Ovis aries: one gene and its partners. The protein of the gene in region 2 interacts with the protein of the main gene of each other region in a biochemical or structural test. Links are inferred from orthologs where the notes say so. Each region holds a gene or a part of one and is shown on either strand. Other genes may lie near its edges.

Region 1 (10,118 bases), on a different chromosome or scaffold from region 2:
CTGCTGCAAGGGGCCAGTGCCCCGTGAGTCCACCAGCTACCTGTGGTCTTGCCAGAGCTTTTCACAGAACCCTTAAGCAAGTGCACGAAGGCTCTTAGCGCCAATACACTACACAAAATCCATCAGTGTGGCAGAGGGCTCCACAAACCACAGCCTGCAGGCCCACGGCTGGTCCGAGCGGGCGGGCCGGGACAGCTTCAGGGCCCACAAATCTGACCAGCAGGCCCTTCCCCGAGGAGGTGTCGCCGCTCACAGCGGGCTCAGACGCCGGGAACGCCACAGACCCCGAGAACCAGGAAACTGCAGCGGAACCAGCCCCTGCACCCCGTCCTTTCGTAATCTGTCCCGTGACCAGGACCGTACGCGGTGCCCAGCACACACAGGGGCCCAGGCGCAGACCGCAGCTCCCTGCGAAGGCCGGAGCACGTGCCTCGAGCGACTGCGGGGCGGCCGCCGCCTCCAGGCAAAAGCTGCACGGCAAAAAAACCCACTCAGGCATCTTCAGCTCTAACAACATCCCTGGTGGCTCAGAGGTTAAAGCATCTGCCTCCAATGTGGGAGACCCGGGTTCGATCCCTGGATGGGGAAGGTCCCCTGGAGAAGGAAATAGCAACCCACTTCAGTATTCTTGCCTGGAGAATCCCATGGACAAAGAAACCTGGTAGGCTACAGTCCACGGGGTCGCAAAGAGTCGGACACGACTGAGCGGCTTCAAATTCAAAAAACAAAGCGAAGCCATCAACTGGCAGGACAGATTTTCAAAGGCCCCGGGGTGACGGACACGGAGACCGAGACCCCCTGCGGCCGTATGAAAGATTCCACAGCAAAAAGGTGGAAAACAGAGCAACGTACAAGCACCCATCCCAGGGAGACTGGCGACACGGCCGTGCAGTCAGAGCGCTCCGGGCTGGACCCCCACATCCCGCCCCCGCCCCCCGGGCCCTCACTCTGCGCCCCCAGCTCTTCTGCGGGCTCTGCCGCTTCCACCTGGGCTCAGACCCAAATCTGTCTATTTAGCTGGAGCCCTGGCCGGCCCCCTGCTGCAGACCCGTGTCCCTGCCCCAGCCCTGCCTCGCATCTCTCACCTGAGGCGCCGTCCCATCAGCCTGAGGCCACACCTCTCGCCTCACCTCCAGGAAACTGCCCAGAGCAGGGCGCCCCAGCGGCTTCCTCCCGGACTCCCCACGCAGGAGACCTCAGTCCAGCTTCTCACGCTCCCTTCTCCCGTGACAGCCCTTAATCCACGCCGCACTCCAGACTCGCCCCACCCCGGCCCACCTCGGAGCAGGCTGACCGCGACAACCCTCTTCTTAAAGACTCTGGAACGCTCCCACCGCTGGACGCAGGTACCAAACGCAGGAGGCCTGTCACAGCTGAGCGTGCTCCCTTCAAGCCTGCGGCGGCGCCTCGTTCGCAGCAACCACAGCTGCCCTTCCACCTCCCACAGCAGCCCTCACCCTTCAAGAGCCACTCCCCACAGAGCACCTTTTCCTCCAGGCCCTGCCTGACCCCCGGCCGGCCATCCGCGGCACCCTCAGGGAGCTGAGCTCGGCGGCAAGGTCACGGTCTACTTCCATGACGAGGCTGGAGTCCAGTCTCGCGCTCTGGGACGGAGGAGGCCTCAACACACTGAGATTCCTGCTGAAACTAAACCGCCACAGACACAGGGAAGCCTCTCCCCCAGGCCCCGGTAAGTCTGTTCCACAGACAAGGAAACCCCGTGTGCCACCGGGCTTGCTGCCGGGCCCCTTCGTCTCTGCGCCGCCAGCATCCCCGACTAGCGGCCCCACCTCGCTGGGGAGGCCCTATCTGGACTCCCACTAACAGAGCACTGCCTCCTTTTACTTATCAGAAGGAAAACGTTGTTGCCCGAGTGAACCTCAAAAATAATCCAGTCCAACAGTTCAGATCAAGAGAATCATTCTTCTATAAAACGTCCTCTGAATCCAAGTCTCAAACGAGAGAAGGGTCACAGGTCAGACGGCTGTCAGCACTCAGGCGCCACGGGGACAGAACTCCCGCCTGGCTGAGGTTCCATCCAGCGTCACAACAGTTCTGTTCCCATCTAAACTGAACTCAGGGGATTTAAGCTACCGGTAAGAAGAGACTCAAAGGTTACCCATAGTGCCGAATTCTATGTCAACTGAAATCAGCTACCGCTCCTCTCCTACCTGCTACTCCTAATTACGAGCCCAAATGCCCCCTTAAACACCCAGGTTGCGGCCGTGGGAGAAGGCGTGGCCTCTGCCTGGCGGCCGTGAGCGTCCCCTCTGGGCAGGCGCTCAGGTGAGGTTGGGCATCCTTTCTGGCCCTCGCACAGCTGCTGCCTGTATCAGAGGACGCGGTCTTTAAAGTCAGCATCCAGGAAGCTCCAGAAGAGCCTGACAGGGAGTGCTGAGCAACATCAGATCTGTACCACCAGAGCGTGCTCTCAGCAATATCTATCGAGCAACAAAACAGGGGGGTGGGGGTGGGGAGGTGCCTCTATGAGCCAACTCGCCTCTGTTTTTCCCATCTTTGCTCCTCACGACCCTCCTCCCAGTCATCACACAGCTACACGAGCTGGAACCGGAAACTTCATAAGAGAAGCGACCTACGCAAAGCACACTTCCAATTTTCTAGACCCGGGAAAATGTACTGTCTCTAAACTGAACCCACTCAGAAACTGGACCCTGCTGTTAAACTGGAAACAGCCTCTATTAAAACGGAAAGAAAAACCCAGGAGCACTTACCTAACACTGAACAGAACTTAACAGAATCTTGGAAGTGTTCACACTCAAGTAAGATGGAGGTGAAGTGTCTGTTTATGCAACAAGCTTCAGCCTACAAGCTGCACCCGTGTGCGGAAAAAGAATCCTTTAAAATCTGTCATTGGAAAACCAGAAGCCACTGACACACCTTAAATGTAAGATCCAAGACAGGACTGAATAGTGCAACTCAAAAGGCAAAATTAACAAGACAACCCAGAGGACAGGCAGCTGCAAACACACCAAGTCATCTGCCTCTTCCTTCCTCCTCTCCGTTCCCCTCCCATCAGCAACCGTCTTCAAACCACAGCCGTCCGTCAGCCCTGCCAGTCAGCCTGCGGAACGTCTCTACTACAGATGGACGCACGGACGGACGGACAGCTCACCAATCGTCATCACCGTGACCTGGATTGCAATAATGGCCCAGGTCACTTCCTGACTGCAAACTCCCCCCTGGCACCCCACTTCCTTCCTCTGAGCAGCCGATTCAAGCTGCCTCTGCAGAGCCACGGCCCTGGCGCGGCTGGCTCCCCACCCTGGGCGCCCTCTTGGCTTCAGCCCTGCTCTGACCCTCCTGCCTCAGGTCAGCCCCGCCTGCTAGACCCCCTGCCCACGTGGACTTTCTTCACACCGACCAATGCTGTCTTTTACTTAAATCTCTACTTTCCAGCCTGTCTCCTCACTGACATCTAAGGCCCATGATGGAGAAAGCACGTCACCCCTCTCTCCCAGTACGCATCCCTGGGATTAACTCTCCTGTAATGTCTGGACAAGGACGTACACTGTGAAGTTAAGGGGGCGTCCCTGTGGTGCAGAGGTTGAGACCCCAGCTGCCACTGCCAAGGGCTCAGTTTTGGTCCCTGGCCAGGGACTTTGGCTCCCACACGCTGCACGGCCAAAAAAAAAAAGCTACTCCCCCAACAAAAAAAAGAGATCAGTCCTTAAATTCTGAGGAAGCCAGTAAGTCGTCACTTTTTACTGAGCAAAATGAACCCCAAAAAATAACTATTAGCCAAAGCGCAGAAGCTCTGGCTTCAGGAGCTCGGTTCTGAGGCCTGAAAGAGCCTAACCACTTCATCCATCCTGCCTGGGGCGTGGAAGCACACGGCCCTGATTTTTGCCTTTGGCCAAAGCTGGCCCGGCCTTGTCTTCTACACTAGCTGAGTAATAAGCGCATCACACAGATCCGCGGGTTTCTGGCTCCGGGAGAGGCGATCCAGGTTCAGTGTGACCAAGTGAATCCTGCCAGGATCTCATTCAACTGGGGCAGCGGCAGCCCTCGGAGACACCAGGGGAAGGAAAACTCGACGGCAGCGGGACGCCCGGGGCAGCGGGCGGAGAAACAGCAAAGCTCAACTGGAGGCGGGGGCAGCGCCAGGGAAAGGCCCCAAGGGCAGGGAGGCGCGCCCGGTGAGGGGCGGGTGGGGCCCGAGCAAAGGTCCTCCGGCGCGAGTGGGCGTGTAGCGCGGGCTCCCTGGAGGCGGCGGGAGAGGGTGAGGACGGGCATCTGGGAAGCAGCACGAAGGGAAAGCTGGGGGTGGCGGCTGCGGGCACTGGGAAGCCAGGGCCGCGCCCCTTTCTCTCCACCCAGAGGGGCTCGAGTCCCTCCCTCACGGCTGCACTGAGGCGCGCGGCGAGGCCCAGTCAGTGCCCGAGAGAGCGCTCAGTCACCTTCACAAGCCAGAAGAGCCAGTTACGCGAACGCAGCTGAAGCCTCACCACTGCGGGAGCCGAGAGCCCCCAGCCTCTCACGCTGGAATCACACTGTGCTGAGCGCTGCCTCTAGCTCCCAGGCTCTTCGGGGACCTGGAGGCCTCGCCAGTCAGACTCGCCGCGGCTAGGCCTTTGTTACGCAGTATCTGATTTATAATCCCTGTCTCCCAGCTTTTAAAGTCCATTTAGCTCAGCAGTTAACCTCCTGGTCATTACACCGCGAGGGCTTCATTCTTCTCTACCTCTAGTCCACAGAAGCATCCAGTGCGTCCCCCTTTAATACGACAGCTTCTCATGTTCAGAGCTGAGACTACTATCTTGTCAGCAGATCTATCAAGTCAGAACCATCTCACCCTGAAAAAAACCTGTATTAGCACCCTGTCCTTTCTAAGCAGACGCTTGAAAAGATCAATACCTTTTATTTTTAAAACCCTACGCCATCTCTTTAGCTCAAGTTTTGCATAATCTGCACAAAAGAAGCCTCGAGCAAAATATTAAGGCCAATAATGAAGCCCAAATGAAAAGGGATGCCCAATGCTCAGTGTCACTCTGGGTTATTTTAAAATAGATACTAAGTCATGCAACTCAGTACAAAAAGGACATCTGAAATTCAACTAGCGTAGAATCTTCAGTGGAGTGTCATTCAAAATTTCCTCTTAGTAACAGTCTAGACTCATTCCACCTTGGAATTTAACCAAATGGATTTCCAGTCCATTAAAGGCCCAGCTTGGGGGAAATCTATTAAAAAAAAAAAATTCCTCGTTCAAGCCGACCTCTTCTACAGTATTTTCAGTTAATGTGTTATAAAACAGACGCCTGGCTTATTTCAACCCTGGCACCAGGCTATCAATATATGGCCCTGATATTTCACAGGTAAAGGCATTTCGTTTCTACCTGCGAAGGCATTTCCATCTCTAGAGTTTCCAAAGGCTGCCGTCCGGGAGGTCCAACCCCGGAGCTCAGAGACCCTGAAAGCGGTGCAAACTCGGGAGGGCGGGGGGCAGGGAGGGGCCCGCGGGGCGGGGAGCCGAAGACTAGCTTCAGAGTCTCAACCCGTGGCCCCAAACCGGCTGCAAGACCGGGAGCAACGCCCTGCTTCAGCAGGTAATTTGCACCGAGGACGCGACGAAGGGCAGAAAGCGCCCCTTTTCCAACTGGGCGCCCGCAGCGCGAGCTGCCGGGCCCGACGCACCGCCCTCACCCACGGCGCCCCCGGCCGGCGCCGCCGCGCCGAGCCCCGCGGCCCCGCGCACCTGGGCGCCGGCTCGATGAGCGTGGTGGTGTCCAGGTAGTGGATCTTGTAGAACTCCAGCAGCGCCGGCAGGTGCTCGAACTCCTGGTCCCCGATCTTGAAGCGGCGGTTGGGCAGCGAGTTGATGATGTAGTGGGACACCCGCGAGTTCTCGGACACGGACAGCACGTAGTCCCCCGGGCAGGTGGACGAGTCGCGGACGAGGAACACGCCGTGGCGCTGGCCCTGGAGCCGCGTCTGCGCCTCCTGGCGGGACACGGGCCCCATGTACCAGGCCGAGCGGTCCGAGGAGTCGAACCTGGCGGAGGACATGGCGGGCGGCGCGCGGGGGGCCGGGCGGGCCGCTCTCGCCGGCGCTGGGGGCGCCCCGCCCGCGGCGGCTGCGCGCCGGCCGGGCCTCGGGCTCACCGCGCGCCTACAGGCCCGCGCCCGCGCCTTCCTCGCGGCCGCGGGCCCGCAACATCCTCCGGGCCGCCGGCCTGCTCCGGGGCCGCCGCGCGGGCCCAGCCGGCTCCGGGCGCGGGCCCGGCCGAGCGCGGCGAGGGCGGCTCGCGGCGCCTCCGCTCAGCCCTGGCCCCGGCGCGCGGCCGGCCCCGCGTCCCCGCCGCTCCGCACCGAGCCCCGCGGCCGCGCCGAGCCGCACACCGCCCGGGAGCGCCGCGCCGCCGGGGCCGCCGAGCCCTGCCCCGCTCCCGAGAGCCACAGCAACAAAATGGCGGCCGCGGGCGCAGCGGCGGCCACCTCCCCCGCCCCCCCCCGCGCCCCGCGACTGCGCACGCGCGCGCGCCCGCTCCCGGCGGCCGCCGGCGCCGCCCCGTGACGTCACGCCGCGCGGCCAATCGCGAGGGCGGGCGTGCGCCGCCCGCGCGCGGCGCCGCGCTCCCTCCCGGGCCCGCCGGGGGGCGCTGCGGGGAGGCGGCGCTTCTGGAGCCCGCTCCGGGAACAAAGCGGGCGGCGCGGGCCAGGCCCGGCCCCCGGGCGCGGCCCCGGGCCGTGCGCAGCCGGGCCGGCCAGGTTAGGGGGTGGCGGGGCCGACCGCCGCGGGTGCTCAGGCGGTGGCTGGCGAAGCTCCCGCGTCCTCTCGGAGCCCTTGCCGCCTTGGCCCCCCCAGGACCCCCGCCGCAGAAGCCCCGGCCCCTGGCCGCACCCCCGTCCGCGCCGGACCGTCCGTTTCACGGGAGCGGGGTTTGGTGCGCCTTGTTCAGCCCTGGGCCTGGCGCTTCTTCGCCCCGCCCTACGCTGATCTCAGACCTGGGCGGAATGAATGACTGTCGGGGACCCCCCGCCCCCGCCCCCGCCGGCCGGTGGAGGCGCCTGTCCAGAGGGGCATCGGAGCCCGGCTCTAGACTCCTGGGGAGCCGATCTCGTTGCTGGGCTGAGCCTGTCCTGCACTGTAGGTAGGGCAGGCGTCCCCAGCTTCTGCGACCCAGTGCCTGATGACGGGAGGTGGAGCCGATGTAAGAATAACAGAAAGAAAGTGCAGCGTGAAAGGAATGCGCTTGAACCATCCCCCGCCCCGAGGAAAAACTGTCTTCCACGGAAGGGTCCCTGGCGCCCAGGATGCTGGGGACCACTGTCGCAGCGTGATGGCTGACGTTCCTTCCGGGTAAACTCAAGGGGAATCGTCACGGCCTAGGGCCTTTTGTGACTCAGCAAAGCAGGTTTTCAGCTTCCCTCCAAATACTTTCGCGTCGTGTTACTTTCGGGCACAATTTGAATAGCTCAGAATTTGAAGAGGAAGGCTTGAGTTCCAATCCTAACCTGACTTACCAGTTGACTGTATCATTCCTTGTCATATTTTTTTCATCTTCTAATATTAATTTTTCTTTCAGTTTTATAGAGAGATAGTTGACATACAGCACTGTACAAGTTTAAGGTGTACAGCTTAATGGCTTGACTTGCTTACATCATAAACTGATTATCATCACCATAAGTTTACATATAGATACAAAATTAAATACAAAAAAAATGTTTAGTGAGCATCTCAAAGATACACAATTATATCTCAGAGAAGTTATCATAGGTTGTATGCTTTGCAAGAGGCACTCAGGGAGGTCTTTTGAAGTCCAGGACTCATTTCAGTGTTACACAATTATTGCCTATAAGTTAGTCCATTTTGCTTGCTTTGCTAATGTGTGTGTGTGTGTGTGTGTGTGTGTGTGGCGGGGGGAGCTATTAATTACATTATTCTACTTTTGTGTATGTTTGGATTTTTTCACAATAAAAATAATTAAGTAATTTCTTATTTTTCCTTAGCACAGCTGAAACAAGCTTAAAAACTTTTTCCCCCAAAAAAACAGCCTAGCCACTAAGAGGTAATGAAATGGAAATGAAGGGGACAAACGACAAGAAGCTTTAAAAAGGGGCCATAACGTAAAAAAGATTTGTGATTCTGCTCTAGCTTGCTCTTCCCGAGGTTTCCAGGTAGCATTGTACTTACTCTCTTCTAAGATAGTTAGTTTAGACTCAATTGACAAGGCTTTTCCAGCAACTTGCCAGGGTTCCTGTCCCTGAGGCTGCCTCTGTACTGAGGATTCAACGCCAGCTCTCTTTTGTGGCCTCGCCACGTGGCATGCAGGGTCTTAGTTCCCCAACCGAGAATCAGACCCGCAGCCCCTGCCTTGGAAGACAGGGTCTCAGCCACTGGGCCGGCAGTGAAGTCCCCTCACCGAGGAATCTTTTTAATTATGTGTTTGTTTCCCTTTTCTGTGCGGGGTCTTCATGGCTGCACGGTTTTTCTGCACTTGCGGCGAGCGGGCTTCTCGTTGCGGTGCCTCCTGCTGCAGGGAAGGGCTCCAGAGCGCAGGGCGCGGTGGTTGTGCCGCTGCTGCCCAGCTGCTCCGTGGCTTGTGGGATCTTACCAGATCAGGGACCGAACCCACGTCTCCTTCACTGATAGGCAGATTCTTTACCCAGTGAGTCACCAGGGGAGCCCCCACCCCGCCCCACTGACTTCTGATTCTCCCCTGTCTGGTCCAACCCTGCAAGCGATGGTTAAGGCCGGACGGTCTTCCCAGGTTGCTGCCTTACTGAGGACCCGGGAGGACAGTGTCTGTCCCTTCTTCCTGCCCTAGATTCTTTGCTGGCAAAGACAGTAAGGTAGAAGAGGCCTGCCTGTGTTACGGGGAGACGCAGCAAGCGCGCTCACCGCGCTGACCTGATTGGGTCGGGGGTTCTCAGGCGTGGTCTCCACGAGCCCTGGTTGACCACTGCCTGGGTTAGACACATCCTTGGAGACCCGCCTCGCCCTCTCACCCTGCAGTTCTCCGTCACTGCTCCCCCATGCTTCATGTCTATTTCCAAATTTTTCTCCCTAACACAAAAGAGGAGCTTATTGGTTATCTTCTCCCCCACCATTAGTTTGCTACTTCGATACTAATAAAATAATGTCCAATCCCGATTATAATTTCCCATGACGCACTATTTAAAATATCAACCTGCTCATCTCTTCTTTCCCAGGGGGACATCTCTGCACGAGGCTTGGCTGCTGTGTTAGGAAGTTCTACCGACCCCTCTAGAAAACACTGGCCGACTTAATTCCAGTGTCTTAAAGTCTGGTCATGGCTCCGCCTGGCATTCTCTAACCTAGTTCTAATGGCTCTGCCGCCTCTTGTATAAAATATCCATTTTCTCGGACTTCCCTGGCGGTCCAGTGGCTGAGACTCTTTGTTCCCAGTGCAGGGGGCCCAGGAGTGATCCCTGGTCAGGGAACTAAGATTCCGTGGACCGCAACTAAGGGTTCGCACACCAGACTGCAGACCCCGTGTGCTGCCCACTTAGACTCGAGACAGCCACGTAGGTAAATAAATTAGTTTTTTTAAAAGTCCACTTTTGTGTCACTTGAGCTGAAAGGCAGCTTGTCTTGTTTCTCCTGATTTCAGAGCATCCTGGAGTGCCTTCAGCGAAATCCCCTAGAGGCACGCTGATTCCCTCTCCCATCCCTTCTCGGCCAGTGCTGTGCAGCCCTTTAGACCGGGCGTCCCCAGATTTTCCTCTAAAGATCCAGACAGGAAATATTTAAGGCTTTGCAGGACAAAGAAGAAAATCGAGGAGTGTTATGTAATCTTGCTCCAGCCTCTTGATCTTCCTCCCTGGCTCCAGGAGAAACTCCTGGAAAATGGGAGCATCTTAACACCTCAGGGGATCTGCACCCGTTTTTATCAATCTGGAACATTCTCTCACCTGATGAGAAAAATTTTCTGCAATCTTTTAAAAGGAAGTTCAGAACATCATAGTGGTTGAGTGTTAACTGTTTCATCACCCGAGCATGCGAGTGAGAATAATGGGATTCATCTGGGATAATATTTCACTTCATTGGGCTTCAGCATCAGTGTCCCCTGATGCTGAAATGTTGACCTGCCAGTGCTGAGCTGGGCGTAATTAGGCTCTGTGTCACCCCTGACGAT
Region 2 (10,118 bases):
CTGAGAGAAAGAGGAAAGGGCAGCCAATATAGGCGCTGAGAATAGGAAGAGCTTTAAAATGAGACTATGATGCCAAGGAGGGAACAGCTCTAAAGGCCACTTTTCTCCTTCCCCTCCTCTCATCTTGGATTTGGATTCTGGACTTCCTCTGCCAGCTCCGCCAGTTGAGGGTGGGAGGGGGGCTCACGGCGCAGAGAACTGGAACCACACCCCTGCTGCTGGATTCCTGGCTTAGGTGCTGAGAGGACAGAGCCTGGGATTGTGCTCTTGGCTTGGCAGCCACAGGGATGCGAGAGAGGTGGGCACGAGTGGCCGTGGCTCACTCAGTGTCTCACTTCAGGGCCAGTTGTTTCCTGGCACAGGATGCTGTGGCCGGAAAACCTGACTGCTCAGGAATGCTCTGCTCGCATATCCTCCGGTTATGCTCGCCTCACAGGCCGAGAACACCATGTGCTTGCTTTACAGGCTTAGCGCCTCAGCCCCCGACTCTCCCTCCCTCACAGCCTCACACACTGGCTCCCTTGTAACCTTCATGGCACTCTGGCCCCTCAGAATCCTGTGACATGGTTCTTGGGGCCAGAATGCTCCGTGTCCCTCACCATTCGGTTGCTGCTACTTCTTGAACCCCTGCCTGACACTTCACAAGCGCTCAGACCTGGGGGCCCGAACACCCAGGAGGACACGCATCTCTCTCATACCCTTCAGTGAAGCCTGGGGCCATCACACCTCCTCAGCTTCTCACGCTCAGGTCTCTGCCTGACATCTTGGGTTCTGTGACCTCGCGTTTCCCAGTGAGGTGCCTCCTCTCTCTTCTTCAGAGCATGCTTGATGACCTGGAACTAGAATCCACCTACAACCCCTTGCAAGTCTGGAGCCACCTGTACTCACACCTGAGCAGCACCTTTGCCAACCCTCATGGCCGGTTCCACCCAAGCTCGAAGAGCCGGGCTGTAAGAAAGGTACTTCCCTCCTTCCCTGTTATGCCCAGAATGCCAAAGTCCTCTTCCCCTGTCCCCCATCCAAGGGAGATCCTCCCTGATCTCCTCTGGAACAACCAATGGGAAGATCAATGGGAAGAGAAGCCTTTTGCCCTAGACAAAGAAAATTACAACCCTTACGCAGTACTGGGACTTTTTTGCTTGGGCATTTACATAAATATTTAGTTATCTTAATTGAGGTGTTTGGGAAATTCAGTAGTCATTTAACAGATCACTGTCCCACTAAGCAAACTGGCTGCACTGGAACCACAACCGCAGCCTCTGTTGAAAGAAGGTGGGATAAGAAATGCCCAAAGGAAGGGAAATTAGTATTTACGAAGCAACAGTTGTACTCTCACATATATTTTTCTGATTTAATCCTCACAGCATCCCTACAAGGTAAGTGTTATGCTCATTTTACAGATGAGGAAAGGGAGGCTGACCAAGGTTAGAAGCTTAGAGACACGGCTCCAGTGACAAGAGTTCAAGAGAGAAGAGGAATTGGGGTGGGGGGAGGATTTATTTTAATGAAATCCATGTTCTATAGTATATGGGCTTCCTTTTGTGCTCTTATAAATCTTTTCCTTGTTTCTCAGTAACAAAGCCTGTAGGAAAAAACTTTTGTTTTATCTGAAGTTACAAGAGAAAGAGGTTTCCAAACTACAGACAGTCTAGAGGTGGGAATAAAACCCACCATAAGTTAGCTGGTAGGCAAGCAAACAGAGGAGGACACTCAGCCAGGAGACAAGCATTGTGGAGGCTAGAGCCACGGGGACTCCGCTGCTCTGGGCCTTGAGGCTGTCACTCATGGGACCCAAGAAGGAGTTAGGACTGGAGACCCAGCAGGGAATGGGATAGGAAATCAGGACTAGTCTAGTCTTCACAGAGAGCTCTTCTTGCTTTCTCTGCAGGCTGAGCCTTTACAAATAAATCGAGTGCGAGCTACAGTGGCCCCTCTGCATATGACTCCAGCCCCTGGCAGAGCCCCCAAGATGCCAGCAGCCAGCAAAGCTTCCTCAGAAGTCTTCTTCCAGCCTCCTATGGAAGAGAAGGAGGAAGAAGAGGCAGAGGAGGAGTATCCCTCAGGGCCCTAAGTCACTAGCGCCATAGCCCGACTGCCCTGCTAAAGCACATCCATGCCAAGGTTCCAGATCTGTCCCACAGTGGCTTTCTGTGGCCAGACTTGCCTTCTGTCCACCTAACCCTCTGCGAGCTCCAGGTGACTGGGAAACAGAGCCTTCCCCTCCTCTGCCTCCAGTGCTTTCAGCACCCCACTCCTCAGGCTATGAGGAGACCCTTCTGACCCTCTTCTTTCTCTAAGAAGGGACTTTTTTTTTTTTTTTGGATCATTTGATACTGTTAACACAAATGAAGAATAAATACCCAGTAGGTCTCTACCGTTGTTAGGAGTATTCCCAGACCCAAATTTCTCCTTGTAGTTCTGTGTAAGCAGGTGGATGATGTCAGGTCACCTTCAGGAAACTGGACCTCAGGAGAGAAGGATGAGGTTTTCCAAGCTCATGAAAAACAAGCAGGAGTGAAATCTAAGCTTCATTTCAAAGCCTGTGCCCCTCCCATCACATTGCAAGTCCCATCAGCCTTCAAACAGAAAAGTGGCTGGTGCTTGCTAGCTACATGCAAACTGTGTTTGTGTGTGAGAGAGAGAGAGAGAGAAAGAGAGACAAGGGGAGGGGGGCATCCTAGAGCTGAGAACAGGGGAGAGGGTGGTATGAAAAAGGCCTATTCCCTCCCTGTTCCCCTTTCCTCACACCCGCCCAGCAGCCTTGTCCATCCACAGAATAACTACCTTTTGTAAAATGTTTATTCTGCACTTCAAATCAATTAAGTACTTGAGAAATTTAGCTCCTTCCATACAAACAACCCTGTGAGATTGTGCCTATAATTACGCTTTCCCATTTTACCTAAGGGCAACAGGGGAAACTGAGGGTTACCAACGTTATGCCCAGGGCCCCACCCACCCCAGGTGGGCCTAACTGGACCTTTCAGACTCTGAATGGTCACCCCCTCCCTGGGGCCTTTTCCTCCTTCAGTGGCCCCCAACACCTTTCTGGTTCTCCTAATGTCTGCCCAACACATCTTGCCTCTCTGTCCCTTTTATGACTGTTCACAGACACAGACCTCTTAAATCCAAACTGACTTTAATGAGAATAAAACTTACCCCCGCCAAAAATATATATATATATATGGTAAAGAACAATGAAGGGGGAGGGATCCTGACACAGCATACAAGCCTCTCAAACCACACCTCCTCTGACCAAATACCCTTTTCTATAGTTGTGCTCCAGCAGCTATCCCTTCCTTTGGTGGGGATGACTTAGAGGTGCTGGCCTCCCCCAGATCCCATCCCTGAGCCCCTTTATGACTCTGTCCCACTTCCATGACTTCTTGGGACAGATCGTCCTTCCCTTGACTCCCCTTGTAACCTGGTCTCTGCACACAGGCCCCTCTGGTTCCTGCTGGTTCTAACAGGTTTCTTTGACCCCATGCTCCTTCCCCATGGTCCTCCTGTCAGCAGCCTCAGCTTCGCCCAGGTCTCACGTGGAACCCTCTGACTTGGCCCCAGTGCTGTCAGTCACTGCTCCAGAGAGCCCACAGTCCCAGCTCCCTGGGGCCCCGCTTTTCTGGACCTGGCTGTACAGGGCAGTGTCTGAGCTACGGCCTTGGCTGCCACTGCCAGCTGCAGCACCAGATTCAGATAAGGCCAGGCCCTGGGGCTTGGGAGCTGGGAAGGGCTTTGTGCTCCGAGGGGGCGGCACAGCATAGTCATCCGTGGCAGGGTTGTAGGGGAGCTCATAGCCCTCCTCCTTCACCCGAGCCTGGCACCACCATGCGTCCTTGGGCTCCTGAGGCAGATCATAAAGGCCCCGGAGAGCGGCTGGGGCCAGGCCCTCAGGTTCATCATAAATGGGGTCTTCTTTAGGGTCTGTCAACTTGGCCTTTATCAGCTTTTGCTGCACATGCTCACACAAGTCCCAGTAGAGAGCTTTCTTTAACTGTGTCCCATCCCCTGCCCGAGCAGGGGTGCTGTCCAAGGGGTCTGAGTACAGGGAATCTTGGGAAGGGCCTGGAGGAACGCGCAGGGAGTCTAAGGGTTCAGCATACAGGGCTGGAGGGCTGCCTGGGAGCTCCAGAGGGGCCGAGGAGGAAGCCAACTTCCCGTCCGCCACTTCTTCATGGGAATCAGCTCTGAGAACATCCTGCCCCTGGCCAGCCTTTCCCTGAGTCTTCTGTCGGTGGATAGCAGTCTCGACTGCCTGAAAGATGTCATTTCCCTGTGCCGTCTGGAAGGTGAAGGTTCCAGGGCCGGAGGGACAGCGGCGGCCAGCCTCAAAAGAGAACATGACCTGAAGAGGATGTAGAGGGAAACACGTTACCAGCAGCCATCAGAGGAGGTGAGTCACAGGGCTACAACTAGTTAGGGGACCTACAAAGAAGAGACCACTGGAAAGGGAGGTTGGTCATGGTCTAGGCAAGAAAGAGTTATCTAGAGTGCAGTCTCCCACCTTCCTGTCCACCCCTCCTCCCACAGGTGTCCAACCCAGTCAGCCAGTCCTGTCTTGACAGCACCGTACCTTGTCACGGCCATAGCGACGCAACAGAGTGTAGGGCCAGGAGAAGAGTGGCTCCAATATCTGCCTCTGGGCCCCCATGGCCAGAAGAGTCAGCCTCTCCGCCTCCACTCTCAGCACATAGGAGCCATGCAGGCCACAGCGCTCAGCGGCCTCAGTCTTCTGCACCGTTACCCAGAACTGGGATCCTGGAAGGAATATACAATTAGACTGGGACCTGGCCGGGACTGGGGTGGGGGAAGGGAGCAGATTGTACACACACACACACACACACACACACTCTCTCTCTCTCTCTCTCTCTCTCTCTCTCACAAGCCAGCTCTGAGGAGCTTCCTACTTCCCCTCCTAGGACACCCTTTCTTTCCACCCCATCCCTGCTGGGGCTTTTCAGGCCATCTACCTTCCCAGGAGGGGCTATACAGCGAGTTCTCCAGCATCTCCAGGGCAGAAAGCTTGGGTGGGTTCTCGGCAGGTGCCAGGGCCCAGCTGCCTTTCTGGGGTAAAGAGAAGGAGTATGAAGGAGGCTGTGATTCCCTCACCGCGATTCCCAGGGTCTGAGCCAGCCCAGTTCCTCTGCCGCTGTAACTGCTCCCACCCTGCCTCGCCTCCTGGGCCCAGTGCAGCCCCGGGCCCCTCACCGGAAAAGCGTTTTGGCACAGCGTTTGCACCCAGGCTGCACTGGACGGCGCGTCGGCCGCCAGCAAGTGGGATCGCTGTGCGGTGTCCAGGCGAAAAGCTGCGGCGCCAGGCTCAGGGGGGCTCTCCACCGCCACGGGGGCCACGCTCACACATTCTGCCAGACGGATCACCTTGCAGTCCAGGCGGCGCGAGCTCCCTCGGCCACCTCCAGAGCTCGACCCCTTGTGGTCAAAGAACTCGAGCCGCGCGACACCGTGGGGACTGGCCGGGTAGAGAACCGCCCAGGTCTTCCTCCATCTCTGGGGAAAGAGCCGAGAGACGCTGGGGAGGGAGCGGACAAGTACCGGCTGCCGGGCCCCGACGGGGGAAGAAAAGACCCGCGCGGGCCGATTTCAGCACTAAGGTTTCCCGATCGCTGGCGAAGTTTCTCCAGGAGGATGCCGCTCTGTCTCCCCAGGGCTAGAGAGGCATACCCGGAGGCCAGCGGACGCTTCTCCGAAGAACATGCAAAGCATTTTAGCGGGAACGTCACAGGGCTCTCCGGGTCCCGGCGCCGCTCCCCTAACCGCCGCGCGCCCCCTCCCTCCGTTTGGGCTCAGTCGCCCACCTCCAGCTCGGATGGGGTTCGGTAACCCCTGCCCACACTACCTTGGCCCCGAAACGCTGACTCTGCAAAAACAGCGGCCCTTCCATCACGGCCCCGTCCATGGCCCCCGGCGGTTCCTTCCGCGCTTCCTGGCTCGGCGGCCCGGAGGCGGGGCGGGGCGGGGCTCGCGGGAGGCGTTCCCATCCCTCCCCAGCCTCCGCGAACCCAGAAAGGGGAGGAAGGAGATGGGCCAGAGGAAGGGGAAGGGGTACCACCTCTAGACCCCCATTCCCAGCCCTAGGTCTCGCGCTAGTGGCTTCACCGAGAGAAACCTCGTAACTTCGGTCAGAGGACTCTGGCTCTTAGGCTTGGGGGCTGCGTACAACGTCAGATGCTCAACGTGACATCAGAGTGAAGGCCGTGACATCATCTAGAAAATGCCTACGGGCACCCTGGGGCATTGGAGGGACTTTCTGGGCCTTCGAGGCTTCAGTTCCCCGGACCTGACTCGACCCCTGCTCCGCGGGAATTCGGCTATTTACGATCCGCAGAGCCGGGGACATGGGGGAAGGGCTGGGGCTGGGGACTGAAGACTTCCCGGAGCTCGGAGCCGAGTCGCCGCATGGGGCGCAGCCCGAGATAGTCTACGGCCCCATGGCCTCCTGTGTGTCCAGCTCTCTGACCGCAGCTGCCCGGCACCCAACCCGCGGGAAAAGAGAGCTTTATTAAACAGGCTGGGAGGGGCGAGGAGGGGGGCGGGAGGGAGATTGAGCGGCGACAGCGGCCAGCTCCAAGGAGGAGGGGAGAAGAGGAGGGAACTGCCCTGGGAGGGATCCTGGGAGAAGGCGGAATGTGGGAGGGCTCAAGGGGACGTGGGAGGAACGAAGAGGGGGGGCGGGGGAGAAAGAGGGGCAGTCTCCCAAGTACTTTTTTTTGGAAGTCCTAGGATTGATCTACAGGATCAAGACTCTTCTCCCAGCCGCTAGGGTCCCCGTTCAGCCAAAGGTAGGGGGAGTCACGCTCCCGGTGGGAAGGAGAGGATGATGGAGGGACCTGGGAAAAGGGGTGATGTAGGATAGAATCAAAGGAAAGCCAAGCTACTGAGGGTTGTATAGTCAAAGAAGACACAAGAAGAGTGGAGAAAGGAAGCAGATATTGGGGAGTGGGGGCTACAGGGTGTTCCAAATAGGGCATCCGAAGTGCCCGAAGGCTAGGGGCTCCTCTGTGAGGCCCTCTCCCTAGGTCCCCAAGCCAAAATGTCCCCAAACAAAGCTTCCCTGTTGTGTTGTTTGTCTGAGTTGGGGGAAGCATGGGGTAGGGGGGTGGGAGTGGGGGGGTAGGGGGAGCTCGCTGTAAAGGAGCTGTTCTCCCGACAGAGGGAAGGCCTTAGCTGAGAAGCCGACTAGTGCTCTTGCCTCCTGTTGCCCCGGGAAAGAGATGGCTGTGTTGGCAGGAGGCTTGGACAACCCCACCCCACCCCACCCCCACCTTGAGGCCTGGCCCTTCTGGGCCCCTTGACCCTGCAGGGCATGCGGGATGTGTACCAAGTTCTCCAGTGCATTCTGGTTCTCTGCCTTTTCTACCTGGAATCTGCCCAGAAAGGACTCTCAGCCTGACTGCCATTTAGGGGACCTGAGATCTGAGGGTGCCCTAAGCCCCTTCTTGCCTGCCTCTTTCCACAATCAGTAACTATCTGTCCTCTCTCTGACTGGCTGAACAGGATCATCTGGGTCCCTCCTGCCTCTGCTCCTTGGCTTTTGTCAGTCCCTCTCCTCCTTTTTGCCTTTTCATGAGGTTCGTGGGGTTCTCAAGGCAATTATAGAGTTTCAGCAAGCTCCGGGAGTTTTTGATGGATAGGGAAGCCTGGCGTGCTGCAGTCTGGGATCGCAAAGACTGAGTGACTGAACTGAACTGAACTCCTCCTTACTCATTGCCTGCCTTTCTCAGTTGCTCCCCAATTCTGTGTGCCAGACTCTCTCCTGACCCCCTTCTGTCCATTTCCAACACTCTCTCTCTACTGTCTGTTTGGTCCCCTTTTATTCCCACAGTTTCCCTCCCTCTCACATCCTGTCTGTCTGGGTCTCCCTCTCTGTGTCTCTTGCTCAGTCTCAACCTATCTATCTTGATGGGCCTCTGATCTCGGTCTCTAATCTCTGTCTTTTGATCACTGGGTGTCCTTGACCTGTGAGTCGGGACAGAGGTGATGATAGCAGAACCAGGGAAAGGACATTATGAGACATAACAACTAATAGTGAGCGTTTATTCTTTACAGAGGGAGGGAGAGCCTTCTCTCTCTCTCTCTCTCTTCCCACCCGCCCCCCCTCCCCAGTCTGCGCGTCTCAGTCTGTGCCTCTGTTACTCTGCATCTCTCTTCTTATTTAGGATGGATTTCTCTCTGTCTCTCTCAGCCCCTGGGTCCCTCCCTTTCTGTCACACTGGCCCTCTGTCTCTGGTCTTAGCCGGTGTCTCTTCTCTCATGATCTCTCTCTGAGACCTGGGCTTCTCAATTTCAGCTTCTCTCTCTCTGGGGCACCCAGGCCTTCCCTGCCATGGGACCTGTCAGTGTTTGGCAGTGGAGCCTGTGGGGGCTGCTGCTGTGCAGTTTGTGCCTGGGATCTCCAACCCCGTCCACGGCACCTGAGAAGAGGGCCGGGAGCCAGGGGCTGCGGTTTCGGCTGGCTGGTTTCCCCAGGAAGCCATTCGAGGGCCGCGTGGAGATACAGCGGGCTGGTGAATGGGGCACCATCTGCGATGATGACTTCACGCTGCAGGCTGCTCATGTCCTATGCCGGGAGCTGGGCTTCACAGAGGCCACAGGCTGGACCCACAGTGCCAAATATGGCCCTGGAACAGGTGAGCAATGCTTCAGGCACAGCCTAGGTACTGCCAAAGTACAGCCTAAATGTAGGGGAGGGAACCGCCCTGGGGACACAGAATACCAAGAACAGCCAGTGTCAAGTACACCCGTGGAGGGGAAACCAACCAACATAAAGCCGCGTGAACTTAGGCTGATCGATGCCTTCTCTGAGCCTCAGATGCCTCCATGTGCAAAGTGACTAGATGGTCTGTAAGTTACTTTCTTCTGCAAAAGTATGATTCTACAAAGCCACATGCAAAGACAGCCCTGACACAGAGGAGCCCTGTATGATTAAAGAACAGCTGGTTTCATGGGAAGCTGAGAGCAGGTAACTGACATCTGGATGTCCCAGAGACAGAAGTGATCGCAGATACTGCAGCCAACAAGATCAGATTATAATTTAGAGCTGAAACCGACAAGCTTGGCTTCCAAAGACAAGTATAAACTTTAGGATGTGGTTAGTAGGGGCTTAGGAGCAATTCTGAGACCTGGGGGCACTTGCATTGTATAAACTCACAGTGGGATCGGTAGAGCTGGCGCAATCTGCAGTTAACCCCCTATTCCCACTGGTTAGACCACATCTGGAATAAAGTATCACTTTAGATGCCACATTTTCAAAGAGACAATAGAAAATGGAAGTACTGGGCATTTCCTGGTGGTCTAGTAGTTGGGACTTTGCACTTTCACTCCCGAGGGCACAGGTTTAATCCCTGAATAGGGAATTTAGGTTCCTGGAAATGGAAGTACTTTCAGAGGAGAGCTATCGGATGTAAAAGATTGGAAGCCACATTTCAAGGAGGAATAGCTGAATAAACCAGGGATATTTGATATGAAATGAAAAAGCTTTGGATCATAATTACATGATGGTTGAATTCAAACTTGAAGACAGTCATTTGACTGAGGGATTTTTCTGGGTGGCATCAAAGGACTGAATCAGACCTGGAGTGGAGGAAAGTAATAAAAGAATCTCAATAGTTTGTGATAGTTCCAACAGCCTAATGGGGCAAGAGGTAGGTATCCCAGCAGAAGCTGGGTAAGTCCTGTCCGGATATGCATGAGGGTTCCCTGCACGTGGCCCTTTGAGGGGCCACCAGTTCTGAGAGAAAGTCAGTGATACTCATTTCAGTTTGGCCCAGGTCAAGAGAAGAACATGGGGCATCATGGCAGCACAGAGCCGTCACATGGGAGAACGTAAGGCTAAGGTGAAAGGATCTTACATTTCCAAGTCTCACAAATGGCTCGAATCTCTAAGCCCTCATGCATTGGCTTTATGGTCCTAGGCAAGCTACTTCACTTCCCTGAACTTCAATTTCTTTATACAAAATGGTGATGATATCTTCTGGCAGCTCTGTTCTAAAAATGATCACATATGTACATACCTTGGCAGAGTGCCTCACGCACACTAGGCAGCTGTCATTGAATGGGTAAGGACTGATCAGAACTTCAGTGTTGACTCTTGGGTCTTTGTA
Region 3 (10,118 bases), on a different chromosome or scaffold from region 2:
ATATTTTTTTTAAATATAAAAACCATTCACAGTTCATGGGCTGCACAAAAACAGGCAGAGACCATCTTTGACCCATGGTTTGCTAAGCCCTAATTGGATTTAGGTTAAGCATCTGTAACAAGAATTCTTCATAGTGATGGTGATTATCTAACAGTTATCGAAGGAGGAGTCACAAGGGCCAACTTACACCAGTTACGGGTGAGTTATGGGATGTCCACCAAATCTCTCCATTGAAAAGAGAGAGCCTCTTTGCAAAAGCCCGGTCAGCTGTGCAGGACTCCTGCACCCCGTGAACACTGTATTCTTTACAACCTTTCACCTAGGGACCTCCCCATGGTTAAGTGGTTAGGAATCTGCCTGGCAACGCAGGGGACACGGGTTCAATCCCTGGCTGGGGATGCTCCCACATGCTGCAGAGCAACTAAGCCCCGTGCACCACAACTACTAAAGCCCATATACCTTAGAGCCCGTGCTCCGAGACAAGAGAAGCCACCACAACCAGATGCCCAAACACCGCCAGCTAGAGAGCAGACCTTACTCTCTCCAACTGGAGAAAGCCCACATGCAGCTATGAAGACCCAGCACAGCCAAAAAAAAAAAAAAATTTTTTTTTAATTCAAAAGAATTCCCTTTAACTAGTGTTTTTGGCACCTTCAATGCACTGAACTGTGGCCTCTGTTTAAATTCATAAGTCAAAGCCAGAACCCCAATGTAACTATCTTTGAAGATAGGGCCCTTATGGAAATAATTAAGCTTAAATAAGCCATAAGGGGCCTCCCAGGTAGCAATCCACTTGCCAATGTAAGAGACACAGGAGACATAGGTTCAACCCCTGGGTTGGGAAGATCCCCTGGAGGAGGAAATGGCAACCCACTCCAGTATTCTTGCCTAGGGAATCCCATGGACAGAGGAGCCTGGTGGGCTACAGTCCATGGGGTCGCAAAGAGTCATACACTGAGCATGCATTCATATACCCAAAGCTGTAAGGATGGGGCTGTAATCCAATGTGTATCCTTATAAGAAGAGACAGTGGAGAGTGCCTTCTCTCTCTGCCAGGTGAGGACACGGAGACGGTGGCCATCTGCAAGCCAGGAAGAGAGTTCTTACCTTGATCTAGAACTTCTAGCTTCCAGAACCGTGACAAATAAATGCTTGCTGTTGGAGCCACATAATCTATGGCTTTGGTATGGCAGACCGAGGTGACTAATGCAACATCATTGAGAGTTCTTACCTAAATCGATTATCAGTTGAGGCTACAAGATGGAGCTTTTCTAGTTCTCGCATTCCTTCTAGTATATTAGGTGACATTTTTCTACAAAGGAAAGCTTTCCTTCAAGTAGCAATGAATAGCAGCCTCTCCAAAGAAAGGCGGGATAAACGCTACATTTTCTAAGGGAAAGTTTGGAGGTTTTGTGTTTTTTGGGGGAGTGGGAACTTCTAGAACCTGTTTGTATGCTGAGAGGTTAATTCTTTGGAGAGGGAGAGACATGGTACAAGAGAGGAGGTCACAGAAGGTGTAAAGTCCTAAAAAGGTGGGAGGATGTGGAGTGCAAGTGGAGGAAGGAAGGGGAGGGCAGAAGAAACGACGTGAACTGGCCTTCTGGGTGGACGTACAGGGCCAGCTTACTAAGAAATGTGCCGGAGGATTGCTGGGCTTGGTTGCATGCATGCTAAGTCGCTTCAGTCATGCCTGACTCTATGCGATCCTGTGGACTGTAGCCCGCCAGGCCCCTCTGTCCAGAATTCAGAATTCCTCTGAATTCTCCAGGCCAGAATACTGGGGTGGGTTGCTATGCCCTCCTCCAGGAGATCTTCCTGACTCAAGGACTGACCCCACATCTCTTATGTCAGCAGCATGGGCCCGCAGGTTCTTTACCACGAGCACCACCTGGGAAGCCCGCTGGGCCTTGTTAGTGTTCTTGGAATCTGGGAGCTGTCACCCTGTCTGGCAGGTGCTTTTCTCTTCCACACCCAGAGAAGGTAGACAGTTAGACTGCTGCAGGTCTGGGGCTTTCCAGGCAAGCACCCTGGAGGGTGAGGGGTGTGGCACAGGGGCACCAGCACAGCTGAGCACGGAATCCAATATGGCTGAAAACAGAAGTGAGAGCAAGAGTGATGGCTGGATGGGAAATGGATAGGAGTGCTCAGCTGCTTGCTGGCCCTTGTGTTTAGTTTTGATTTCAGTTTTCAGAATTTATTTAAAGGAACATGCAAGCATGGGAACTGCAAGCACTGATGACAGTGGGAGAGGGTGTTCAATAGGCCCCTCCTATGGCCTCCTTGTCCTGCGCCCATCGTGGGGAGCAAGGGCCACATAGAGGGCAAGGACTGGACCTGACTCCTGTTCGAGCCTCCACCACCCAGCCTGGCACAGGCTAGTGACAGGGAAAGTTGAGTTTGATTGACTGAATGAAAGAATGATAGCAAACACTTGATACAGCACTTACTATGTACAGGTCACTAGTACAAGTCACTTACTGTGTATGAGCACACTGATTTCTCCCAAGACTCCTGTAAGGTAGACACCCCCATTTTACAGATGAAGACACAGAAGCACAGAAAGCTAAAATAATTTGTCCAAAGTCATGCAGCTAGAAAGAGGCAGAGCTGATCTACAGACCAGGCAGTCTGGGCCCAGAGAGTCCGTATTCCTCATCATCAGGATATTCTGAATGGATGAATGTGAGTCATAGAATCGGCTTATCTCTGTCCTGGGTGAAGCCAGGTATCTCTTGAGGTCAGAGCCCAGATCTGGTCAAGAGAGAGCCAAGTCAACCAACAATGAACTGAGAACTACTCTGTTCTAGATTGGGACACCTGCCATAAAGGAGACAAACTCAGCACTAAGGGCAAGAATAAAGGGACCTCCTTAGCCTACGTGGTCAGGGAAGGCTTCTCTGAAGAGGCGGCACTTAAGGTAAAGGACAGAAAGGAGCCAGTGCTGTGAAAAACAAGGGAAAGAGTGTTCTAGGAAGAGGAAACTGCATATGAGAAGATCTTGAGGCAAAAAGTTAATGTATTCTAGGAACTGAAAAAGATTGCAGTGTGGCTGAAGAGGAAGATGGCCCAAAAGGAACTTAAGAGGTGGGTAGGGGCCACGACTCTTCCGAAGCCACGAAAAGGGTTTGGATTTAGTTATTTTTCACTATTATTGAATTGTATTTTTGTTATTCCAAGCAGAATGGGAAGTAAGCCATTAGAGTTGGGTTTTTTAGTTTAGTTTTTTTTTTTTTGTCATTAGCGTTTTAAGCAAGGAACTTATGTGGTCTGATCTGTATTTTAAGAGCAGAAACAGTTCTGTTCTTCCATTCATTTGGATAGTCAGTCATTGATTCTTGGATATTTTCATTCGTTCTTTAATTCTTACATCCATTTATTTTTTCACTGGACTTTCATCTGTTTGCCCACTAGTTCCTTTGCTTCTTGATTGACTCATGCACTCCTGTACTCAGAGAACCTGCCTCTCTGTGCCAAACCTTGCCCGGACTCCAGGGGCCTTGCCAACAGCCAGACACAGTCCTTGCCCTTGAGGAAAACATATTCCACACCCCACACCCCAGGAACCAGTGGTCACCAAGCAAATGATGCCGAGTGCTCTGCGGAAAATCAGAAGCCAGCCTTTGAAGGATGACAGAGCCTGATAGATTGGGGTGGGGGGTCCCCAGGGGCAGGGACCAGTGCCCTTCACGTCTGTGGTCCCTAAGCCTGACACCTGACCGGCAATGATAAATATCTGTTTGTTAATTGAACAGGTGGAACAATGGTCAGGCAGGAAGTACTTGATGGTGGGAGGTGATAGGGTCCAGCCAAGGTGAAGCCACCCTCCCCAAGTCCCTGCACCTCCAGCTCCTCCCCTGTGCCTTCCTCCCCACTCTTCCTCCAATATGAAAGGCATTCTTACCTGTACCCGACTGTTCTCTGCTGCCCCGCAATCATATTGAGACAATTCACAGGCATCCCTGCTCACACACAGAAACACACATGCCTACATAATGCGTCCCTGTTGTTGATTCTAAAATTGCAGTCATCGTGTTCATTGCCTACAACCACACACTCACACATCTGTGCTTACGCCCCCTCCCGACCTCCCCACCATATCCCAACACACATACTTCTCCACCAAACAGCCCTCCCACACACCTCATCCTCCCCTGACAAGAGAGATTCTGGTGGTCCTGGCTGAAGGCTGAAGAAGTAACAGTGGTGGAAACTGAACCCCAGGTTGAGGGGAGGGGCATCGAACCCTACTAGTTGGAAAGGCTAGAACTGTTGTGATAGAAATTGCTATACTTAGTTTTTCTAAAAGTTGGGGGTGGGGTGGGGGAGGCTGACAACCTCCTGCTTGCTCAGTGTAGCGGAATGACTGATTCCTCTGAAAAGCAGAGAAGGGTCTTCTGCTGCTCCTCGCTGTCCCAGAACCTTTCCAGTGCCCAGTCTCCAAGGATGGCAGAGCATGGTGACTGGAGACCAAGTGGCTCTGGTAACAGCAGCCTTGGGTCAACTGGCTGTGAGAACTCGGGTTAAGGCCTGTCCCGGTGTGGTCCTCGAGTTTTCTCAGTTGCAAAGGCCAGAGAGCAGAGCAGTGATGGAGAAATGCCCCCTCTTAACCTCAAAGGCAATAATTCTAAATGAGCAGGTGCTTCTGGGTGTGAGGAATCTGACCCTTTGAAGGGAGTCTCGGGGAAGTCTGTGCTAAGGGTTCAGATCTGGGGAGAGGAGCCGGGGTGGGGTCGGGGTTGCGGGGGGAGGCCTGGGAAAACCGAGCAGCGGTAACTCGGGGGGAGGTGGGAAGCGGGGGCGGGAGGGCCTGGGATGTGAGGGCCCCTCCCCGCTGCCGCCGGGCAGCTGGCTTGGGGCTGGGGCGTGACTGCAAATTCTCCCCGTCGCCACCGCCACCGCGCGCCGCCGCGGCTGCAATAAGAGAAGTCCGAGGCGGCTTCCTCCTCCCTGACCAGAGGGGCCCGCGGTCAGAGGCGGGCAGCACCCCCGTTTGCTCGCCCCCACCCCTGTCGGCACTCGTGGCTGCTGGGAGCCCCGGCCGGCTAACCCCGGGGTCAGTCAGAAGCGGTCTCGCCTGGGACCAGGTAGGAGCCGTCGGGGGAGCTGGAAGGGCCGGCGGTGCCCCGCCCCCAGTCCCTTCGTGGCTGGGAAGAAAGGGGGACGTGGGGTGCGGAGAGGAAGCCCTAAACCTGGGGAGGGGAGCTGACGGCGTTGAAGGCCAAAGGGTCCTCACCCCGCAAAGGACATAAGAAGGAAAACGGAGGAACTCTGGAAAGTGAAAAGCTGATACAGTCTGGGGAGAGGGCTGAGGGAAGGCCCGGAAAGTAGACTAAAAGGGCTCCCCCAAAAAAGACCTGGTGGGAACCTGCAAAGACGAAGCTGGGAAAGGGCTGAGTCGGAAGAGGAAAACTGAGGGGATCCTCAAAAGGGTCTGGGTTGAGAAACTAAGAGACCTTGAAAGTGAGAATCTGGGGAGAAGCTGAGGGGTCTGGAAGAGAGGAAAGACTTTTAGGCGGGCGGGGAGGGGTCTGCCAAAAAGGAGTCAAGGAAAACCGTTTCTGGAGGACGCGGAATGTGGGTCGCAATCCCGAGGGTCCAGGAAGCCCCTCTATCCGGAATCGGCAGAAGTCGGAGGTGGGGTGAGGCCAGCGGCCGGGAGGGGAGGGGAGGCTGTCACAAGCGCCCCCCTAGAAGCTCCAGCCCGGCACAGGTGGGCGGGTCCGGGCTGGCGAGGGGACTCCTGCAACGCGCAGGAGGCGTGGGTCCTGGTTTCCTGGGGAAGTCCCCGCCCTCGGCAGGGATGGGCCTCTCTGGGTGCCCCCTCCCCTCCCGCAGCGGTGATCTCGGTCCACGTTCCTCTCGGGATCCGGGAATTGCTGGCCGCCCCGACGGAAATCCTGCCTTTGACCGCGATTGCCGGGAGGGGCTGTCTCCATGGTAACAAGAGGGCGGAGGGACTTAGCCCAGCTCTGGGCTGCCTCGGGGCTCAACGCCTGCGCTGCCCTCCGTGGTCTCCTCCCCCACCCCCATTTTGAGTCCTTAGTTCGGGGCGAGCTGCGGGGCCGAGGAGTAAGGCGAGGATGTGCAAGTGTTCAGGGATCGGGGCCGTGGGGGATCTGCAGTCTCAGGGTTTTAGCCAGACTGGAAGCTGGTTTGCTGTGTGGCTTTAGGCAAATTATGCGGCCTCTCTGGGCCTTAATTTCCTCATTTGCATTGTGTAGGAAATTATCCCTGCCCCTACCCAGCTTCCATCCCCCAGCTTATCCCCAGTCGTGGGATTCGGATAGACTAAGCTGTTTCCCCCACCCCCACCCCACCCGGTGTCCTGGGGGTAGCCTCTTCAGTTTCTCATAAGCATAGAGCTGGACCAGAAAGCCTGACAGGGCCTCCAGGGACCAAAACACAGGTGACTTCTTATAAAATAAATATTTGTGAGTCTGTTGAGGCCCCACACTGGGAAAGTCAGCCAGTTTGAGACTGTCCTTGACCCTTCCCCTTATTTATTTTTTTGGTGATTTGTGTGTGTGTGTTTATGATATAAACACTGGTTTGTCAGCAAGTTTTGCTCTTCTCAATTCCAAATAATGCAACGTGCAAGAATATGCATTTTATTGAAACTTTATTTTCTTTTTTAAAATTGTTTTATTAAAAAAAAAAAAATGTTTGGTCATGCTGCATGGCACATGGGATCTTAGTTCCCCAACCAAGGATCAAACCCATGCCTCCTGCATTGGAAGCGTGGAGCCTTAACCTCCGGACTGCCAGGGAAGTCCTGAAACTTCATTTTATTGAAACCAGTGATCCCTGAGTCTTTTGATATCGTTCCATCTGTGAGTGTGGTGGTGGGAGACCAAGGCTCTGTTCCCACTTCTCAGATGGGAAGATGGAGGTTCGGGAGTGAATAACTGACAGGTCAGCAGTAGGGACCCAGAAGCCGGGCATCCTGTCCCTGATGTGGTGACGGATGTAGACAGAACTGAAGCCTACATTCCCTCCTCATCCCTACCAAATTCCATTGCCCTCTGGAGAGGAGAGGGAAGCCGGGTTGGGGGGGGGGGGGGCGGTCAGTGGTGAAAGAACATATGGGTTTCCTGGGCTGTGTGGCTGGTTCTTGCTTTCCAGTGGGTGTGAAGCTGTAAGTGAGGGTGGAGAGTGTTTGTGAGTATGGTTTGGGCTTTGAGTGAATGAGCTTGAGCATGTGAGCATGTGTGTGGGTGTTTGGGTGTTCTCTGCAGCCACCTGGGGCTGATGTGGCAAAGGAAGTGGCCAGACCTTGGGAGGATGGGTAGGGGGACCCCGGGGCTGGGGAAAGAGGACCCAGAGCCCTTCCTGCACAGAGTCAACCAGGCTGGCTTCTGACTGGACCTGGGGAAGGGACTTCCTGTCTGGGCGTGCTGTGAAATTCAGACTCCTACTCCTTCAGTTCCCCCTGGACCAGCTCATGGCTTTCCATCCCCCAAGAATCTCAAGTCTCTCAAGATCTCTGTTTTAGAGGCTAGCGGGTAGGTTTTCAGCAACCGATGAGAAAACACTTATACCCACAAGAAGTAGAGAAAATTCAGCTGACACGGTGAGGACCCTGTGGAGGGGAAAGCTAGTGTGGCCCCTCCCTCACCCCCACACACTGGCTTTACCAAAGTGATAGAATCAGAGCTGGCTATGTCTTCTTAGCCCCTGGGTGTTAGGGGTGGGGGTGATAGGCCTGAGTGATGTGAGATGGTTGGAGGTTCTATGAGAGATGAAGGCCTCAGTGAGGGAGATGGAGGCTCAGGAAGGGCACTGGAGCCAAGGAGGGGTGGAAGGTCTCAGTGAGGAATGGAAGCCTTCATCAGAGGGTCAGGCCTTGGTGAGGGATGGGGTGCGGCGAGCCTGAGACTCAGGCCTGCCCACCAGGCCAGCCTGAAGCCCTGAGGAGAAGCCGGAACTCTTGCTGGATGGTGGTTTCCTGCCCCTGTTCAGTCCCAGTTCCCTTTTGGTGAAATCCCCCAGGCGGCTGGGCTGGCTCAGCCCTCCCACCTCACCCTGAGCACTTCTCTTTCTTCTCTGCCTCGTCACTTCTCCTTCCTCGGCCTTGGAGGGGGCTTCCTCAAGGGAAGGGGCCAGAAGTGAAAGTTCACCTAGCAACTACAGTGCCCCGGGTGCTCTCAGGGGCTTGACCACAATTGAGGCTCAGGAGCAACCCCAGGAGGCAGGGATTGAGATTCCTATTAACAGGCGAAGAAACTGCAGCTCAGCGAGAAGTGAAGCGACCTGCCCAATGTCTCAAGTCAGGTAGAATTTGAGCCGAAATCAGTTTCCAGATCCCACAGATACTTGGCAGAAATCAGGGGGGAACAGGACATCCTGTGTCTACATCAAAGCCCTGATGTGGTGTTGGGAAGCATAGACCGAAGAAAGGATGGGTGCATCTGGGGCTCCTGTGTCCAGGAGGAGGGGTGGGAGGCGGGCAGTTTCTCCGCTTTATGGCCAGCTGCCATATATATGGCAGGGGTGGTATGAGCAGTTGTCCGGGGACTGGTAGGAAATATGACATTCACCAATCAGGGAGAACATGACCCCCCTGCTCAGGCTTTGGAGAGCACAGCTGGGAACAGAACTCTGTACTTGAATTAATAGTCCTGGCTTTGAATCCCAGGTCTGGCTGTTTGACCTCCAGCAACTCACTTCCCCTCTCCACACAAGAAAGAGGTAGACTGATAAATCATCCCTGGGGGCCCTTCTAGCTTTGCTGCTTGTGATTCTCAGCCTCCCTTAACCACAGTGGCCAAGAGCCTTCCTAACAACTGCACGGAAGATACAGATGCAAAAACAGATGCTCAGAAGGCTGATGTCATTCAATCAAGGCCCCAAAACTTGGGAGGGCCACACAGAGGGAGAGATGCTGAAGGTGGGAACACCATGGTCCAGGATTGGACCTCAGTTCTGACATCCACAACCTGATCTTGACCCAGATCAGACTTTGGAAGCCAACTCCTGTCAACCAGATATCCAAGAGGCCTGTTTATTAACAGACTCAAGTCCCTGCAGTGACCAGAACACTTGTGGAGGGTCTCTGAGCCACTCCCTTTGTAAGCAGGCAACCTATATCAGCCCTGAGAAAAGAGACTTGGATTCAGATTCTAAGGGCTATTGAAAATCGGTGGTTGCTCAGAGACCCTGGGCAGGTCACTTCCCCCTCACTGGGCTGTAAGGAGGATTCAGGGTGTGTAGCACAGGGCTTGGCACTCTGTGGGGGCTCATGAAGGTACATAACTGTATTGCTTTCACGAGGACTTCAAAATAAGCAGTGCTTAAGATGGACTTTGGAGCCAAATTGCTTGGGGTTGTGTTTTAGCTTCCCCTTATTCACTGTGTAGATAATCTTTGGGAAGTTATTTAACACTTTTGTGACTCGGTTTCCTTATCTGTAAAATAGGGGTAATAATAAAACCTACCTCATAGGGTCACTAAATGAGATCAATCATGGGACTTGCTTGGCACTGTGCCAGGCACAGAGTGACGTGAAGTGAAGAGAAGTGAAAGTTGTTCAGTTGTGTCTGGCTCTTTACAGTCCCATGGACTGTAGCCTGCCAGGCTCCTCTGTCCATGGAATTGTCCAGGCCAGAATACTGTAGTGGGTGGCCATTCCCTTCTCCAGGGGAATCTTCCCAACCCAGGAATGGAACCCAGGTCTCTCGAATTGCAGGTCTTTACTGTCTGAGCCACCAGGGAAGCCCCAGGCACAGAGTAGGTGTTTAATACTTTAACGTTTTAAAACTAATAGTTATTTACCTTTCCACCCGCTTCCCCAGACTTCTGGAAGTCAAATTATGCTCCTAGGCATTGGTGGCTTGTAGCTGAGTTGAGAGCTAGTGGAAGACAAAGATTCCTGGGGGCTGTTTCCATGCAGATGCTGAGCAGAGAGGCCCCTCCGTGTTCCCTTTCTCTTTTGTCTGTCTTTGCCTCTTTTAGTTCTCTCTGTCTCAAACCCTCTCTTTCTCAGTCTCTGTCTGTCTTCGTCTCGCTGCCTCTCATTTCAGTCTCTGTTTGTCTCTTTGTTGCTTTCCGGCAGCGGTATGCTGGAGCCAGCTACCTAGTACCGGCCCTGGGGAGCTGATTCTGCAAATCTTTTTCCAGCC

The links.
Region 1: the proteins of DOK1 (region 2) and CRKL form a complex in vitro, tested with the Homo sapiens proteins (2 studies listed by BioGRID, with this or other methods). The link is inferred for Ovis aries from reciprocal best matches to the Homo sapiens genes DOK1 and CRKL.
Region 3: the proteins of DOK1 (region 2) and FGR form a complex in vitro, tested with the Homo sapiens proteins (2 studies listed by BioGRID, with this or other methods). The link is inferred for Ovis aries from reciprocal best matches to the Homo sapiens genes DOK1 and FGR.

Annotation. Positions count from the first base shown.
Region 1 is NC_056070.1:72,319,956-72,330,073, reverse strand, and holds the start of CRKL (crk-like protein), read right to left. Parts: upstream 6,427-10,118; 5' UTR 6,025-6,426; coding exon 5,714-6,024; intron 1-5,713. UniProt on the Homo sapiens protein: May mediate the transduction of intracellular signals.
Region 2 is NC_056056.1:96,401,526-96,411,643, reverse strand, and holds DOK1 (docking protein 1), read right to left. Parts: upstream 5,922-10,118; 5' UTR 5,915-5,921; coding exon 5,855-5,914; exon of another isoform or gene 5,722-5,854; coding exon of another isoform or gene 5,680-5,721; intron 5,506-5,679; coding exon 5,206-5,505; intron 5,062-5,205; coding exon 4,968-5,061; intron 4,756-4,967; coding exon 4,571-4,755; intron 4,343-4,570; coding exon 3,533-4,342; 3' UTR 3,120-3,532; downstream 1-3,119. Other genes in the region: M1AP (meiosis 1 arrest protein), read left to right, coding at 819-959, 1,889-2,071; LOXL3 (lysyl oxidase homolog 3), read left to right, coding at 8,342-8,645. UniProt on the Homo sapiens protein: DOK proteins are enzymatically inert adaptor or scaffolding proteins. They provide a docking platform for the assembly of multimolecular signaling complexes. DOK1 appears to be a negative regulator of the insulin signaling pathway.
Region 3 is NC_056055.1:239,412,941-239,423,058, forward strand, and holds the start of FGR (tyrosine-protein kinase Fgr), read left to right. Parts: upstream 1-4,949; 5' UTR 4,950-5,639; intron 5,640-5,831; exon of another isoform or gene 5,832-5,937; intron 5,938-10,118. UniProt on the Homo sapiens protein: Non-receptor tyrosine-protein kinase that transmits signals from cell surface receptors devoid of kinase activity and contributes to the regulation of immune responses, including neutrophil, monocyte, macrophage and mast cell functions, cytoskeleton remodeling in response to extracellular stimuli, phagocytosis, cell adhesion and migration.